Linked DNA regions of Rattus norvegicus. The protein of the gene in region 3 purifies or fractionates together with the protein of the main gene of each other region. This does not show direct contact. Links are inferred from orthologs where the notes say so. Each region holds a gene or a part of one and is shown on either strand. Other genes may lie near its edges.

Evidence for each region. The genes of interacting proteins can lie anywhere in the genome.
Region 1: the proteins of Vamp4 (region 3) and Vti1a purify together in Homo sapiens (affinity purification with mass spectrometry; 4 studies listed by BioGRID and IntAct, counting the BioPlex papers as one, with this or other methods). This does not show direct contact. The link is inferred for Rattus norvegicus from reciprocal best matches to the Homo sapiens genes VAMP4 and VTI1A.
Region 2: the proteins of Vamp4 (region 3) and Stx8 purify together in Homo sapiens (co-immunoprecipitation; 3 studies listed by BioGRID and IntAct, counting the BioPlex papers as one, with this or other methods). This does not show direct contact. The link is inferred for Rattus norvegicus from reciprocal best matches to the Homo sapiens genes VAMP4 and STX8.

What each region holds. Positions count from the first base shown.
Region 1 is NC_086019.1:264,359,677-264,365,632, forward strand, and holds the start of Vti1a (vesicle transport through interaction with t-SNAREs homolog 1A), read left to right. Parts: upstream 1-2,197; 5' UTR 2,198-2,222; coding exon 2,223-2,316; intron 2,317-5,956. Other genes in the region: palmitoyltransferase ZDHHC6, read right to left, coding at 106-372. UniProt on the Homo sapiens protein: V-SNARE that mediates vesicle transport pathways through interactions with t-SNAREs on the target membrane. These interactions are proposed to mediate aspects of the specificity of vesicle trafficking and to promote fusion of the lipid bilayers.
Region 2 is NC_086028.1:53,152,470-53,158,452, forward strand, and holds the start of Stx8 (syntaxin-8), read left to right. Parts: upstream 1-2,224; coding exon 2,225-2,241; intron 2,242-5,411; coding exon 5,412-5,511; intron 5,512-5,983. Other genes in the region: Cfap52 (cilia- and flagella-associated protein 52), read right to left, coding at 1,257-1,326. UniProt on the Homo sapiens protein: Vesicle trafficking protein that functions in the early secretory pathway, possibly by mediating retrograde transport from cis-Golgi membranes to the ER.
Region 3 is NC_086031.1:77,451,331-77,457,340, reverse strand, and holds the start of Vamp4 (vesicle-associated membrane protein 4), read right to left. Parts: upstream 4,022-6,010; 5' UTR 3,963-4,021; intron 3,792-3,962; exon of another isoform or gene 3,660-3,791; intron 589-3,659; 5' UTR 533-588; coding exon 467-532; intron 1-466. UniProt on the Homo sapiens protein: Involved in the pathway that functions to remove an inhibitor (probably synaptotagmin-4) of calcium-triggered exocytosis during the maturation of secretory granules.

The DNA.
Region 1 (5,956 bases), on a different chromosome or scaffold from region 3:
AGTGTTTTGTAGGACAAAGGCTGATTAGGTAAAAGGTGGAATTATAATGGTAAACTAAATATAAAACTGTGCAATGATCATTGCCAAAATGGATCTTTTTCTTACCGGTTTCCAGCCCCGGGGGACGAAGCCAGGACCAGCAAACATGGCATTGAAGTAATTATAAAGAATCATGACAGTCCAATTTATCAACATGATGAAATTCACACTTCCTCCAGTTGTATGTAAGGGCCAATACCACAAGACAGAGTCAATCATGGCCATTGTGGAACATATTGCTATAACACCCAGGGCTATTATGGGACCCCAATGACACAGTCTTCTTAAGTCTTGAAGATTTTCAAACTTGATTACTGAGCAGAGCGTGCTCATTTTGGTGAAGAATGACTTCTTTCTTCTAAAGAACTAGAGATTTCCTTTTCCTGTGTACACATTTCTGTGTGCAAAAAGTCCACGCGTGTTCCTGAGCTGTCTGTCATGCCTTTGGATGACGGGGTGTTGATATGGAGTATGCCATTTTCACTGGTGGCCTCCAGATCTCGAGGAGGAGAATCTTGGTTGGTTTGAAACACAGTCTAAAGAAAACAAGATAGTAACATTCCATTTAAAAAGTTCATATGCCATTTCTTTAACTCCAAGAAGCATTGAAACAGCGCGTCAAAAGCACACCGGTGTGGGGGTTCACATCTGACCGAGAACAAAAACAATTACTTTGGATCTATCCAGAATATAGTCCGAGCTTGAAGTGCATGTAAACGGGACATATACAGTTTTACTCCTTTGTTCAAACTGCCAGAAAGGATTGACAACTCCCTTTCTTAGTGGATCGTCTGAGAGAACAAAGGCTTAGGGAGCTGAGAAGCAGGGTCTTATCTAATTATCACTTATCCGATTCTTCCTACAACAGAAGCTGGCTTAGAGAGACTGTGATTAGATCGACCAAGGTCACAAGTAACAGCTGGGCTCAGAATAGAAGCCAAGGCACCAAACTTCTTTTAGGACATTCTAAACTGCCTCCCAAAGAGTTGTGATTTAACTGAGACATGCTCTACACACATAATTCTTTGCATATTAACAAGTGGAAGTTGTTCTCCCAAGCGCCAACATTAGCAATCGATCGGGGTTAAAGGTACAGGTACAAGGGTGAGAGCAAAACGAGAGAGCCGCAAGTGTGCATGCGAAAAATCACGACTGAAGCAGTGCACGAGAACGAGCACAAAGTAGATTTAAGAGAAAGAAAGAAAAAAAAATCCCTCCGGGGGCGAGGAGGGAGAGGGGAAGAAGGCACGCACAGGGGAATAATTGTAGATGTGAGTTCTGAATGGAGTGAAATGAGCTGGGAAAAGACCTGATACGTGGGTATGACGTATGAGTAACGGATTTCCACGCAGCCGATGCGCCCGCCCGGTGCCTGCCTCAGTTTCTCGCCCATGCAGTAGTAAGGGAGCTCTAGGACCTTCACTCACGATACAAACGTCTTATAAAGCGAGGCTGGGCTTCATATTTTGGGGATGCTGGCCGGATTAGGTTAACAAGAGGGTTGCACCCCCTGCGGTGACTCCCACCTCAGTCTGGTCTCCGGTGCCCGCTCCACGGCCATCGCATTTCCGGAGCGGCCTGGGCTCACCGGAACAGATTTTCTCCTCTTTATAGCTCTGTCATGAGCACATCAGTCCTGAGTAAGCCGAATGCGAAACCTGATGGCGAGAACCGAGCGAGCAACTCCTACCGGCGCGTGTCTGGCTCACGCAGGGGCGTGAGACTCCCGCTCAGGCCCTCCGCGCAAGCTCTGCCAGAGCCACTTCCGGCAGGTGCGCGGCGTCAATCTTCCCTCGGAAAGCCTACGCCTGCAACTTAGAACTTGGGGGAGCACCAGCTTTCCCTAGACGTGCAGTGCGGGGAAGTGTTTTCTGTGATACCCGAGAGCATGCTGGTTTTCGTAGTTATCTTTTTTTTTTTAAAAAGGGGAGTCATTGAAAGTGAACTTTTTCCTTAGCTTTACGTTCGAGGATTGAGTGGAAAAGAAAAGGCGCAGGCAGTGCAGTTTCCGGAGGACAGGGACTGTGTAGAGCAACCAGGAAGCGGCTGGGCTGGGAGTTGTCCCGGGTTCCCGCTGAGCTGTTAAAGACTTCTTCCCTGGGTCCCTGCGCCGAGGCCAGGCGCCCTTCGTGAGTCCTGCTCTGAGATAGAACCCGGCTCCGGCCGGCCGTTCCGGAGCTGCCATGTCAGCCGACTTCGAAGGGTACGAGCAGGACTTCGCAGTGCTCACTGCTGAGATCACCAGCAAGATTTCCAGGGTCCCTCGACTCCCTCCCGGTGAGTACCCTGCCCGGCCGGGCGGGGGCGGCCTGGAGAGCCTGGGGCGCGGAACGCTGCCTGGGAATGCTGGTCTCCAGGGCGCGAGGCTGGTGTGGGCGGTGCTGGCGGCCGGGGAGGAATGAGTTCTTGGTTGGTTATGATAGGGACCAAATGTGCTTCAAATGCAAAGTGTCTTCTGCATGGAAACCATTTGGGGGGGGTGGTGGTGGTGCCGACTTCCTACCCCACCGCTTTTTAAAGGCTTGTATGACCTTGGAAACATTGCTCTACATCTTGATTTTTTTCTTTTTTCTTTTCTTTTTGTCGTTTGTAAAATATAAGAGTATTCAAAGGAACTGTATGAAGTGTCAAGATTACGGATCAGTAAATGCAGCAGAGTTGTGGTTTTAGTAAATAATACTGTTATCCTTATCCGTGGCACACTAGAGTGACGAGCTAGGATGCCTGAATTCAAATCAAACTCTTGCCACTTACAAGTTGTCTCCTAGGCAAGTTTTCGTTATCCTTCAAAACTTCCTTCTTGGTTCGAGAGAATCGTACCTCTCTCTTAGGGCTGTTGTCAAGATTAACTAATACACATCTGTGAAGCCCTGTGTGTTAGCTCTTGTTAGAATTCATATTTTTCAGACCTCTGCCTTGATTCTGTGTTTCTCATCCTTCTTGGGTATATATATATAACCCAATTTTATATAAAACTTGGTACAGTGCAATTTTGCACACTTTTAAAATTAGCATACCCAGGTATCACTCTCCTTGCTAGGTTGTCAACAGTGTGAAGGTGGGGGCCTTGTCTGATTTTCTTAACATTTCTTTTCTAAGGGCTCAGAATTTTTTTCTTTTTTCTTTCTTTCTTTTTTTTTTTTTTTTTTTTTTTGTGAACAGGTGATTGCAGTGTATCCTGTGACTTGGAATATATCTTGTGTAGTGTTTTAGGGCTTTTCTTTAAGTACAGATTTAACTTGAATAGTTAGTAACAAATTATGAGTTTTATTTACTTATTTTTTGGCTCAGTTTCATTAGGGAAATTGAGTGATCATTGGGCTGCTGAACTTGCCTCTACTTCAGCTCTGGAACATACTGTCTAGAAGAGATGATTCTCATTGGTCTGCAGAATTGTGGGTATCTTCACTTTCTTACCTGATCAGCCCAACCCAAGATGACAGCAGTAACTTCTCTTGAACCTAAGCTGCTCCTCATTCCCTGTCCAGAATTTCCCTTAATCTTTATGTTTATAAATGATTTTCTTCCTCGTCCCCATGCCCCCACCCCACCTGTCTTCTGTTACAAGGGATTTTTGCTCCCAGCCTCTGAACCTCCATCCCAGTAACCTCCTCAAGTCCCTCTTAGCTCTGAAGGAGGGGGATGATGTCTGAAAGAGGTTGATGATGTCTAAAAGAGGTTGATGAGTTCAAGGAAGGAAGCAAGGGGAGAGAACCTAGGTAGCACATACCACGAGCTGTGTTGCCTCACAGATTTTTACAAAGTGGGTGATGGCCTCCTGCCTTGATGATACTTCACCTTGCCTGTTCTCTTCAATACCACTTGGCTCCATTGCCCAAGACCATTTTGATTTTGTTGCCCTTGTTGTCTGAGAATCTTGCCTTTGAAATGAGTCCCAGAGCCTCAGACGTTCAGTTGCAGTTGGATTTTGCTTATTTTGAATTTTAATGTGTTTTTTGTTTGTTTCTTTTTTAGCAGAAGAAACATTTTTTTTCTCTCTCTTTTTCTTTTAAATAGTACTGAGAGACTGGGTACAAAGCTGTGAAGACTCTAATAAACTAGATTTTTGTTACAATTGAGTTTTCTTGCCTCTGTGTTTAAAATTCTTGTCACATAGAAGGAAACATTTGAATTATTTAAAAAAAATAAAGATACTGTTATCCCTGTCCTTATATTTAGTGTAATGTGAGACCCACACAGGGCAATCGTTTTTTTTTTCATTTGAAAGGAGATTGTATTGTTGGCACTGTGGGAAAAAAGTATGCTTATTTGAATAATTAAATGACTCTTGAAAATACAGTGGTTTTCCTCTTGATGTGCTTGCTCCCTTTTTAGCCTGCTCCTAATTGATAGAAAAAGATAGTTTTACATGAATTTGTGAACTAACAGGAATTAACAGTATAAGCATGACAAAAGCAGTGTGCTTGCTGTGGGATTATATAGTTACCAGTAATTATATTAATTAACACAATAATTACTGTATAATACCCCACAGCATCAGAGTGGTTGTGTCACTCAGCTGAAAAAGACCTAGAGAGGAGCTGGAATTTATTTGAACTAAAAAGATTAAAAAATTGGAGCAAATTTTAAAGTCAAAGCAGCCCATTCCCCCAGGTAACAGCTTATTTAAGCTGCAGTGCTGGGACTCTGTGGAGTTGAGCCATTCCCTGCTGTGCCTGTGCAGATGCTCAGGAGACTTCCAAAGAGAATGGGAAGAGACAAAAAAGAACGTCCTGAAACTTTATTTTAAAAAGAAACTGATTACTCTGTAATAATTTATCAATTAAAAAAAACTTTGCTCTTGAAGCGTTTGATTCTTTTTTTTTTTTTTAATTAACTTGAGTATTTCTTATATACATTTCGAGTGTTATTCCCTTTCCCGGTATCCGGGCAAACATCCCCCTCCCCCCTCCCATTCCTTATGGGTGTTCCCCTCCCAACCCTCCCCCCGAAGTGTTTGAATCTTAACTAAGTTTAATGGCCGTGATCTTCAGATGGGTGAGTCCCTTAACACAGTGTGGTTACTGAATTTAAAGATGACTATTCTGTGGGAAAGTCAGGCAAATCGATGAGCCAAGACTATAGCTCACGTTACTTTCCTGAGTTTTGTTGTGATGGGAGTGAATGTCTTAGCAGAAGAAATCGGAGCTTCCATCACAGCAGGCGGGCATCTTGGAGGGTCTTCAGCAGAGTTTCACTTTGCAATTACTTCTTTATCTGCCCACGGTCAATTGTGAATCCCATTAGGGTTACAGTTAGAATGTATCAAAAATGTATCCTGACAGAGCGATCAAGATCAGGCTGCTGGTATTGGACCTGTTTAGGGTCCCACTTCTGCCTAAACTTACTATACATGTAGCTGTGGACAGACTCGTTGACTCTGTAAGCTTGCCTCTTCCTCCTCTAGAGTGGGAAGGAAGGGCGCTCATTTCAGTCTCACCATACTAGGATGCGAATGGAGCACGGCACACTGGCAGAACAAGCTAGCTAGCCCTTGGTAGATGCCCTTATGTTCCTCTGCAGGGCTTCAGTCAGCAGTGGGCAGTGGCTAGGATCCAGCTCTTCAGGCCTGTCATCGAAGTGTCACCTCCCACTTCTTTCATCCTTTCTGTGCCTAAACTAGAGTCTCTTGATGCAAAGCTACGACTGAAGAGAAATGGGCAGTCAGGGCTTTGGGGCACGGAAGTAGAAATGGTATTGAATTCTGGTGATCAAGAGAAGGGAATGGAGGGAGGGAAGTAACAGAGATGCTGCAAAACAGGTATCACCTGGAAGGAGCCCTTGAGTCTAATGGAGTAGCCGGCACACCCTGCAAAGTTTAGGAGACCATTGAAGCTGCCAGATAGACCTTTCAGTTGCTGTATTGGAGAGACAGCTGTCAGCTGCTATGTATAGCCCAGTTATGCGTTATACACAA
Region 2 (5,983 bases), on a different chromosome or scaffold from region 3:
TCACACCTGTCTGTAACTCTAGTCCCAGTGGATCTGATGCTCTTTTCTGGCCTCCTTGGGCACTGGTTCACAGACGTTCACTGCAAGCAAAACACCCATACAGAGGTTTTTGGTTTTTTTTTAAATCTTTAAAAAAAAAAAAAGTAACCTTTCTCCCAAACTTTGATACACTTTTCCAATTCCCTCCTTACTGTTTTAGCAAGAATTCAGGTATGGGCTAGAGAGACCACTCAGTGGTTAGGATCATGGGCTGTTCTTCCAGGACCAGGGTTCAATCCCAGCACCTGCATGGCAGGGCAAAACACTAATGCACATAAAATAAATTACTTAAAAAAAATCAGTTACAGATCTTCTGTGTCTTTGCACTGACCAGCTCACCAGAATATTTGTGTCTTTGCACTGACCAGCTCACCAGATTTTTTTTTTTTTTTTTTTGCAGTCACCAGGGGTCACTTATCAGTAATATTTGTCCATCTCTACAGACAGTGCTGGCTCTGATAAAGAAAACGCTGGCTTTCAATGAGAGCAGCATAGTACAACGGAGAGTCAAGAACTAAGGCCCGGCCGGAGTGCTTAAACCTTTACTCAGTAATCGTTCCGTATCACATCCTTGCTACTGTAAAGCTTTCAGGCATTACAAAAAAAATTGATTTCCCCCCCTAAAATCTAATTCCTTGCCTTTTCACAACACCCCAAACACGATCCCCCAACCACAGCATTTTTCTCCCAATGTTTACCATGACAGTCACAAGAAAAGCGCGAGCACAGCAGGAAGGCCCCTCCAGAATTAACAAGGTTTCTCCCTTGATGTTCTACTTCCCTCCCATCCTGGTCTTAAACCTTTGAGAGTTCTACTTTAGTGGGGGGGAAAGAGGGAGAGGGAGGGGGAGAGAGGGAGAGGGAGAGGGAGGGGGAGAGAGGGAGAGGGAGAGGGAGAGGGGAGAGGGGAGAGGGAGAGGGAGAGGGAGAGGGAGAGGGAGAGGGAGAGGGAGAGGGAGAGGGAGAGGGAGAGGGAGAGGGAGAGGGAGAGAGAGAGAGAGAGAGAGAGAGACCCTTACTCATACTCCTACCGAGTTAGACTCATTTGGTCTCTGAATATGGAGCTGTTACACCCACACCAATTCCCTAGGCTCGGGAATCCTGGGGGCGGTGGTGCCTGGCCAGACTTTTACCACTATCCCCACTGCCTCTCAGGCGCTACCAAGTCAGCGTCTCACTGTCCCTGAGTAACAAGTCAAGGTTGCTCTAGGCCTCACCATTGAAGCCGATCACAGCCTGAAGCTCCAGTTCGGCTACGTCGGTCTCGGGTAAAATTTGTTCTTCCATCCTGGAGAGTTTCAGCTGGTTGATTCCTCAACTCCAGGGTGCAGCGTCTCCTAGTCGTTATGGTAACTGGAGCACGCATGCGTGCTAGGTTTACGCCAGAGCAGAAACCCAGCCCACTGAGTTTAAGTTGATTTTCCCCTCTTGCAAATGTAGGGAGGACTTCCTTATTATGTATTTTATTCATTCTGGAAATGTAGGTGGTAGGTTGATACTGGGTACGCAAGGTAAATATCCTCCTCTCCGTGTAAAGGTCTGTGACTTTTTTTAAACTATAAAATTAAGCCCCTCATGATGATTATTAAAAATAATTGAACACAGAAAAACTGAGCACAGAGAATTGCCTGTGATGAATAGGTTGCTTAAAAAAAGCATGGAATTGCTACTTCCTTGTAAAGAAAAAAATTGTTTTAAAAGACACTAAAAACGTTTTAGTATAGTATGCAAGTGTGTGTGTGTGTGTGTGTGTGTGTGTGTGTGTGTGTGTGTGTATGTTGCCTCTATGTATATTTCCTGCGTCAGCCATCCAAGTGCTGGAATTCCGGGCTTGAGTTATCACACCCGGCTTGTTTTTGCTGTTTTGAATTAAGAAAAAAAGCATGCAGAGCCGGGGTTGAAGCGCTTCCATTCCCTGGAAAAATGGTTTGATTCTTTTCAGCAATGTAACCATTTTCCTTTCCTCCAGCAATTCATGTAAATTAACAAAAATCGATTCTTGCAACCCACTGTCCCCTAGGGGTGCGCTTTGGGGCGTAGTTCTGAGGTCAATAAAACAGGTTTCACTTTGCAAACTCTGGGCTCCGGTGGCGCACCCTCCAAACTGCGGAGAATGAGCCGCGCGGGCCGCCGTAGTCAGCTGCTACGAGCAGGAAGTGTCCCAGCTGCAGGCGGAGACTGCACCATGGCCCCAGACCCCTGGTGAGTTGCCGGTGATGGCGGTGATGGCAGCAGTGTATGGGGATTAACTTGGGGGGTGGAACTGGCTTCCAGGGACTGGCAGAAACCCTGGTCATCGTTGAGCTTGAGGCTGGCGGCTTTAGGGATGAGGATCGGGCGAGGATCCTCCTTGTTGAGGGGACTCAGCCATGTACTGCCTACTCGGTGCTAACTCTGTGGTCCCAGGGGAGACTCTGACCTGGGGGAGCTGGGACTTGAGTAATCGAGTAATTTGCCCCCTTTTTTATGGGGCTTCCTGCCTATCCTGCTTGTGGCTGACTGCATGCGTAGACTTCCCTGGGCTCCTGTAAAAGTGAAGTCGATATAACCTTTCGGTGGGATATTCCTTCACCCATTAATCCCCCTGCAGGAAGGGAATAAACTGAAGTTCACACTCCATGGTCACCAGTTAGTTAGTAGCTAGTTGGGCACGGGTGTTATGGGCTCTTCACAAAAAACTTGTAGGACTCTGAGAGGGAAATTTTGCACTTGTAATAAGCCCTTTCCTGCATCAGGAGCATGAAGACTTATGTGAGTAAGAAGTGGTGTAGAAAATACCTAATAGGGATCATTTATTTAGCAAAGAAGCCCCAAGGAGAGAATGATGAAAAAATATCTATACAAGGAACAAATTGCTATAAAGTCATGACCTTCCTGATTAACAATTTATTACACTGCATTTCTGTAAAGTCTGTGTTGGAGAATATGCCTTATGTTGGTGTTTCTGGTACAATTTATAATTGTTTGATGGCAGACAGTTTTGAATATGAAGAGAGTGGATCCCAAGGTCAGGCTCAGAGTTACCTGGAATCTAGGCTATTTGGGCCAGTAGCTGAATTGTTTGTTGTTTGTTTTTCAGTGTCTCAGTGAGTTTAGGTTGATCTTGAATTCCTGATCCTCTTGCCTCAGTCTCCGAAGTGGTGGCATTACAGGACTCTGCCACCATGCCCAGCCAATTGCTGAATTTTCCCATAAGGTTTTGACAATCGTATACACCCCTGATAGAAGTTTAGAGACTACTGAGTATCTGAAGGAAAAAAGATAGCACCTTCATCACTTGGAAACAATCAGTGCTCACTTTTTTTTCCAGTGCACTTATTGTTTGAATTTATATCCTGCTTGTATTTTACAAAACAGGAAGCATTTCTCCATGCCCTTAAGTAGTCTTAAAACCATGATTTTTAATGCACATCAGTGCATTGTCTGGGTGTGCATAACTTATTTCAAATTTGAGCTCAGTGGTAGAATAATTGTTTACCACATCCAAGACCCTGGGTATGGTCCCCAGCAGGACAAGAAAGCTTTCAGCTGTCAAATGAGAAAGCCACTGTGACAAACAAGACTAACAGCAAAAGAGTTGCTTGAGTGTCTTGGGTAAAATTCTCCTGATCTCATTAGATTCCCGTGCCACGCTCTGCAGAGAACTGATGTCCGCTATTTTGTACCTTCCATGTGGCAGAACATGCCAGGCATGTTTTCTTCTCTCATCTTTGCTTATGCCGTGTGCCTTCCACAGTGTTTAGATTTCGCTTCTCCTTCCTATAGGGAAATCTGCTTTAGACTTTTTTAGAAGTCAGCCCAAAGTGTCCTCTTGCGGCCCAGCCTGTTTGAGTGCCTCATCAGTGATCTCTTCCTTCCTGGGCTCTATAGACACTCAAGTTAGGTCCCTTTCCTAATTGATGGGACTTGGTTAGGGGTTTATATGTTTGATGTGCTGTCACAGAGCTGGACTGAAGCTCCTGTCTTCATAGGTGATGGTGTGGAGACAATAAGTATGGGGAAGTTGGGGCTAGGATCATTTTTCTTATTACTCTGCTATATTATTATTAGTCTTTTTAAACCACCTGCTTTTTTTCATAAGCCTATACCAGATTATACTGATTCATACTGGTTCATACTGATGTATACGTGAGTCTAGGCTTAGGGGGTGACATTGCCTCTGAAGTGCTTGTGGAGTTCACAACACAAAGTTCTCTGTATAGGACCTGGAGCCATAGCCCCAGCCCGAGCTACACACTTTGGTGACTGAGCCTAGTGCCTTGCATAAGCTAAACATTGATCTATGCCCTTACTCACCACCACCCCTTTCTTTTTGAAGTATGAGACTGATCACTAAGTTTTCCCCAAGCTGCTGAGGTTATAGGCTACTACTTCTAGTACTGGAATATTTTAGGGAAGTAAGTTACTTATCTTCTTATGGGTAGAACTGGGACATCCGGGCAAACAGCAGTTTTCAACATTTTGAAATGGACAGTCCTGGAAAATACATCATTCACATGAGCACAGGAGTCCCCGCTTGTAAGGAGCAGAGTGGCGTGCGAGATGAGACAGGAGATGAACATGCTGTGATAAGGAACACTCTGGGTGCTATTGGTGGTTGATTTGAAATTTTTTTCTAGAGATTTATTAATTTATTTTATGTATGTGAGTATACTGTCACTCTCTTCCAGAAGAGGGCATCGTATCACATTAAAGATAGTTGTGAGCCACCATTTGGTTGCTGGAAATTCAACTCAGGACCTCCAGAAGAGCAATCAGTGCTCTTAACTGCTGAGCCATCTCTCCAGCCCTGAATTTTAATTTTTAAAAGATTATTTATTTTAAGCATGTGGGTGTTTTGCCTGTATGCATGTCTGCACACCATGTGTTTGCCTGGTAACTTACAGAGGCTGGAAGAGGGTATGAGACAATTCTGAATTGCCACGTGGGACCTGAGAATTGAACCCAGGGCCACAGGAAGAGCAGCAGTGCTCTTAACCTCCGAGCTAGCCCCTCATTCAGCTCATTTGAATCTTTCCAAGCCCAACACTGTTGGGTGGCAGGTGGAAAGCCACTCAGTGTTCTGAGAGAACCGTGGCAGGGTTAGGAGTCTGCCAGGCTTCTTTGTCAGCTAGAGTGTTTTTGCTGCCTGCCCACAGTTCCTGCTGTCCCCGCAGCGTGCTTTTTGCACGTCACTTCTCATCTTGCCTCTGTGTCTCCTGCCCTGAAACAGCATCTCCTTGTCAGTGTGTTCCCTTAGACTAGGCTGGCCTCGAGCTCACAGAAATCCTCCTGCCTCTGCCTTTGCAAGGCTAGGATTGAAGGCACGTGACACCACACCTAGCCAGCACTTTCTTTTAAAGAACTTTAACGCGACTTTGACTTTGGTGCAGGTTCTCCACGTACGATTCTACTTGTCAGATTGCCCAAGAAATCGCTGAGAAGATTCAAGAACGAAATCAGTGTGAAAGAAGAGGTGAGAAGACACCTAAGGTAATGCAGGGAGGAATCCGCGTGCTGCTGAGCTCTGACGTCTGAAAGCATTGCTAGATCTGAGGTGTGCCGTGGGGGGTGGGGGTGTGCATGTGCATGTGTGTAAATCTTTTAGATCTTTTGGTATGTTGTATCGAATTTTACTTTTTCGCCATCGGTAAATTATGACCATTCCTCCAAGATATAAATTCCTCTGTATTTCATTCACTGACTTTTTATACAGCTACAGTTTTATACAGTTTTATACAGTTTTATACAGTTGTTCATACTTTTGATAGCTGCTGGCATTACATTCCCTAGGGTTCACACTGTTGGCAGCTGCTGGCACTGTACCCTTGAGTCTGTGTGTGTGTGCGTGCGTGTGTCCCTTGGGTTTGTGTGTGTGTGTGCGTGTATGTGCGTGTGTGTGTGCGTGTGCGTGCATGTGTGTGTGTGCGTGTGTGTGTGTGTGGTGTGCCCTTTTGATAGAGTT
Region 3 (6,010 bases):
TTAGACCAGCCACAAGAACAAGTCTTAAGATACAAACGGATCGAATCTAAGGACTTACACAAATGTATACCACATTTGAATGTCCGATGAGGTCTGGGAGGTGGCTCAGTAGAAAAAGTACTTGCTTTATAAGCAAGAGGACCTAAGTTTGGACCCTTGGCATCCATGTTAAAAAGCCAAGTGTGGCACCATGCATCTATCTATCCGTAAGCAGTGCTGAGGTATGGAAACAGGAGATGCTTTGGTGCTCTCTGACCAGCAAGCTTACTCAGGCAGCAAGTGCCAGGTCAGCGAGAGACCTTGTCTCAAAAATGAGGTGGAGGGCAACAGAGGAAGAGACCCAATGTTGATGTGTAGTCTTCTCACTCACACATATAGGTGAGCACACTTACATACATACATACATCATTCACTAGAAAGGCAACTTAACATTCAATTTCTTTAAAGCTGAAGAGTCTAAACTTACCCTCTCACTTTTCACAGACCCAGTGACGTCATCGTCATTTAGGTGGCGCTTGAACTTGGGAGGCATACTTTCTGCTCACAAATACTCTTGCTGTATTTCCCAACAGAATAAGTATCCACCACCTTAAGAAAAAAAATTCATCATATGAGGAACTTTGGGGTATAGGGCTAAAGTGCCAAGGACTGTACAATAAGATCTCCTCACTCGTGACTTTATCTACCTACTCTTGCTCCACTCCACTGACTACAGTCTATATGCTAAGTCTTAGACTGAAGAAGTAGTTAAAGCCATCATAAAAATGGATGTTCTTTTCCTAAGGAAACGTGTTGAGAACATGGTGAATTGGAGATTTTATATCATGAAAGAGCAGATACTGTCAAAGAGGGAGAAAATGGGAATAGTCCCTAAATCCTGAAAGAGCTTTGTGATTCTCACTTGGAGTGAGAAAACAGTGGCATACTTCTTGTCACTGCACTTTTAATTAGTTGCTTAAGAAATGATTCAGTTCCTCATCTGTAAAATAGTGATTTCCAGGATTCCGCATGAAGTTAGTTGGTCACATGAGATAACACATACAAAAACACTTATAAACTCTGCTCCGTTGGCACTCCGTGAGAATGGCTAGTTTGTAAGTACTAATGTGACGATCTGGGAATGGCAATTCTCTCTCATGTTTGTGTGTGTGCATATGTGTATATACATACATACATGTTTATATATGCATATCTGCTGACTCACTACACATATGTACACGTATTCAAATGTATGTACATGTACATGTTTTCTCTCTCTGTGGCCTTCTTTTTCTCCTAACATGTAGATCCTAAAAGCCCCATACCCATGGGAGATAAACGTGAGTTTTTATACTAATGGGATTGACAGGTGTCTCCCAGTCTATAAGCAGCTTCAGAATGGAGGATATCACTGGAAAAAACCAAGTCAGGATTAAAAGGCTGAGCTATTTCATTCCACACCACTCCAACCTCTGGAGAAGGTAGAGGGCTAAAGGCTGACATGATTCTGGACAGCTGCTGTTATAATCTACGAGTGCCCTGCCTCCCCCCCGCCCCCCACAAAAGCCAAGTGGTCAGGGCCCCAGGGGGCTTTGAGGTATAAACACATGACTTTCCTAGAGATGGACACCTGGAGGGACCAGGATAGCTCTGGGTGTCTCCTATACTTTTCCATCCATCCCATCTGATCGTTAATCTGCACCCTTTATAACAGTCTTTAAAATAAACTGGCAAACGTAAGCAAAGCATCTGCATTCTGCAAGCCACTCTAGCAAATTAACTGAAACCAACAAAGGGACAGTGGCCATCTCAACTTACAGCCAACCAGGTACAAAAACTCAGAAGTACACTCACTCCCTTAAATCTCACGTATGCATCTTCTGTAGGACGCTTTTTATTCAGTGGTCGCTAAAGAAGGGGACAGTTGTGGCTACTTCCTAGAAGACAGTGGTAGAAACCACCTAAGAGGACTTTCGACTAGTGTCTAGTAGAGGATCTCCTGCAAAATCGCTTGCTTTCTGAGGGAAAACACCCTCCTTGCTTTCTGGGTTCACAGACATTTTTTCTGAGAGAAGATGTGCTTTTTCATATATAAAAACAAGGATGTTAAATGAACCTGGGTTCCTTTGCTGTGGAAGCACCTCACAGACTTTTGGATGTTAATGTGCACTGTGATTTTTGAAGGAAATACTTGAGTACGCAAAATAACCATTTTTTCCCAGGGAAGTAGCTGTCATGCAAATACACATTTCCAGTATGGTGGCTAAGTAAAAGTCCTGAGTATGTGCTAATATGCATCTTCAGTAACAGCATTTTTAGCATGCACTTTTTTTTTTTAAATGCTTGACACTTCTTTCAGGTAAGCATTAAGAAAGTTTAGTAAGATAACTGTTATATCACATCACTCAAACAGATCAATAAGTGGCTATGCCTTATCAGCATTAATATCCATTCATTTAGTTACCATCATGGTCTAGAACTCTGTTCTAGAAAGACATTTATAACAGCCTACCATCTTCTATTAAAAAAAAAACAGATCTTTAAATAATTTAGATATGAGTTTATTGATTGTTAGGCACTAAGAGAAACCGGAATCAAAAGTAATACCAGTGAAATCAGCTTCCTGTTATCTGTTTCCAAACAGCTTCACTTATAACTGCTATCCTTCCATGCTGGAGTGACAGCTCTGGGGGTCTTTATTCTATATTACTTCTGTTACAATCATCTGACCCATCTTACTCCTTACATCTTAATCTCAGAATAAATCTCATGCAGAAATGTTACGGAATGCACTGAGGGAAAAAGCTGATAAAGCAAGAATTGAAGAAAGTGAGATTTCTAACTGTATCTGGGCTTTATATTTTTATCCTCCACAGCCACAAGGAAACAACTGGCTGGTAAGAACAGGTATTCCGACTGATCTTAGCCAACAGGAAAGTGGGATCAAGCAAGTTCACATAATGTCTTTTACAAGGTATAACACTAAACTTTAATGGGGGGGGGGGGTAAACCTCTTAATCAGGTTCTAAAATCCAAGCTATCAGTCTAAGAAAGGAAGCAAACTCAGGCCAGACGAATAAACAAGCCACCAGCATAAGAGCAGACAGATAAACGAGCTACCTTTGATAAACTACCTCAACTAATGATATTTATAGATTAAAAATAAGCGGAAATAAACTGCTCACATATTAGAGTTGACTACATTCTGCCTACAGTTCCTCCTACCAAAAATATTCTTGTCGTTTAACGTGTCTACGTAGTAAGAGTCATCGTGATGTCTTTCCACTTCGTGGATGGATCACTACCCGGTTCACTGAAGTGTCAACATCGCAAGACTCTTACGTGTACTTCCCTGCTCGCTTAAATTTCACGTATGCATCTTCTGTAGTACGTTCTCTATTCAGTGGCTTTACACGTAATACGCGTCTAACCTGTTGTTTAGTCTACGTTGGTTTTTTTTTTGTTTTGTTTTGTTTTTGTTTTTTTACTTCAAAACAAGCTCTGTGTATTTCATTTCCCTAAAAAGCTCAAATCTGGCTGGGCACGGCTTTCCTTTGCTCAGCCTCCATTCTCTTGCTGGTTCTCCCTCATTTCTCATCTGCAATCTTGGCTGGTGACAGTTCCACGCAAATCGTGCCTGGAAATCTTACTCGCAAAACCTGTTACGTGTAAGGATTCACCTCTACCCACGGGTCATTCTAAGCACAGCGGGGTTGCGCGCTTTCTCCGAACCCCTGAGGAAGGACCTCAGGGAGCTTCCCGGCCAGTTCTTCGGCTCCCTTCCCCGCCGCCGCCCCAGGCCCCGCACCGCGACATCCGCTCAGAACTCTGGCCCCCCACTCCCGGTACAGGTGCCCCCTCGGGAACAGCTCTTCCCCTGGAGGGTAACTCGATCCCAAAGCTCCCCGGCCACCCCAGCCGCTCCCCAGTCCTCGCGCCCCTTCCTCAGGGTACCCCGGGCCCCAGCCTTCCCCACTCGCGACCCGGCCCTCGCGCAGGCCAGCTCCCAGCCCCAGCGGACGTTGGGGGCGGTAGGCAGGGGCGTCGCCTGGCTTCCTTCCTCCTCACGCGCGCCGGGGCGGGATACCTGAGGTCTCCGAAGAGCTCCGGGCAGCAGTCCCTGCTGGCAGCGCAGGGCGGGCGGGGGAGGGAGCGGGAAGCTGAGGAAGGAGGGTGGGAGGGGGAAGGCCGAGGGCACAGACCCGCCACCGCTCCGCTCTGCTGCAGCGCCCCCGCTCATCGAGCGACTCGGCGCTCCACCGCCTGGCGCTGGGCAGAGGGGGTGGGCTCAGGCCGGGGAGATCGAACCGCTCGGTACTCCGAGGCCTGGGGAGGGCGCACGGGAGCAAGCTCTGGCAACCGAGATCGAGCCTTTCGACGCTCCGGGTCTTGTCCTCTGGCGGAGGGGACAAGTTCAGACAATGGAGACACTGAGCAGGTCGATCACTTCGGCCTCTCTTCTATCCTGGAGAATCCCCAGTGGTTGTGACGTTCAGATCCGATGGAGGAGTACGTGGGCTGTACAGGAGATGAGTAGGGCACATTGAAAGGTCTCTCAGAGCCCGGCCCTGAAAGGGTGACTAGGATGTAGGCGCCTTAGAGGGTGCTGTTTTGTGCGCAGTCTGAGGGAGCTGAGTCAAAGGGGACGCGTGTGATGAAGTATCTGTCTGATACGTTTAGAAAATTGGTGGGGTTACTCAGTTTCATTTCCTTTGGAAGGATCCAGACATAGGGATTCAGGCGGGAAACCACCCCTTACACTGCAATTCCACCATCCCCTCATTCTCCACTTGGCTAGATGCTAGACTTATTCCAAAAATGTAGACTTTTGTATTTGTTTTCTCTCTTTATTTATCTCCTTACATGTCTTTTAAACTTAATGGTTATGAGTCCTTTGTTAATAATTTTTTAACTGTGGGAAAATATATTTTATAGTATTTTATAGACACAAAAATAAAAGATGTTCAGGGACAAGAAAATAAACAGGAGGAGGACCATTCCAGGGGAAACCCCTCTATCACCCGGTCTATAGTGCAGGGTTGATGTTAGGCTCACTGGTTGAGAGTCGGCTCCTACACAACTTGGCAGACTTAGCTGAAGTGGTCTGCCCAGAATGGAAGTGTCTTAGTCTGTGTCTGTGGCAGGTCATGGTGGTGAGACTACAGAGTCCTCAGACAGCCCAGGCGCGCTTTTCTGTTTGTTGGTTGGTTCGTTTTTATTCGCCTGATGTTTTTAAAATTTTATTATTTTACGTATGTGAGTGGTGTTGGCTACATGCATATATGTGCACCACATGTATGCCTGGTGCTCTTAAAGATCAGTGAGGGCTTCAGATCCCTTGGGACTGTAGTTAGTGACTGTTCCAAGCTGCCATGTGGGTGCTGGGAATTGAACCTGGGTCCTTAACAAAAGCAATAAGTGTGTTTACTCACTGAGCTGTCCTACCAGCCCTTTCAGTTGATGTTTTTATCTGTATATCTGCTTCCTATGTCGGACTCCCTTACTTTGTCCCCATAGCTAGTTAATGCCCCTGTAAAAAACATAAGGAAATATGATCATGGAGCTATGATAGAGATGTTCTTTAGCTTTTATGAGTAATCTATTATTTTTCTTTGTTTTAGTCATAATGCCATGATTTGGCTAATTATTTTGATTGCTTTTGGGCCAGGAACGTATGCCCCTAACTCTTCTTTATTAATCTGGAAAGTCTCTGTGTGAAAACTTAGGAAATGTGATTTTTTTTTTTTATAAACTTGAGTATTTCTTATATACATTTCAAGTGTTATTCCCTTTCCCGGTTTCCGGGCAAACATCCCCCTCCCCCCTCCCCTTCCTTATGGGTGTTCCCCTCCCCATCCTCCCCCCATTGCCACCCTCCCCCCAACAGTCTAGTTCACTGGGGGCTCAGTCTTAGCAGGACCCAGGGCTTCCCCTTCCACTGGTGCTCTTACTAGGATATTCATTGCTACCTATGAGGTCAGAGTCCAGGGTCAGTCCATGTATAGTCTTTAGGTAGTGGCTTAGTCCCTGG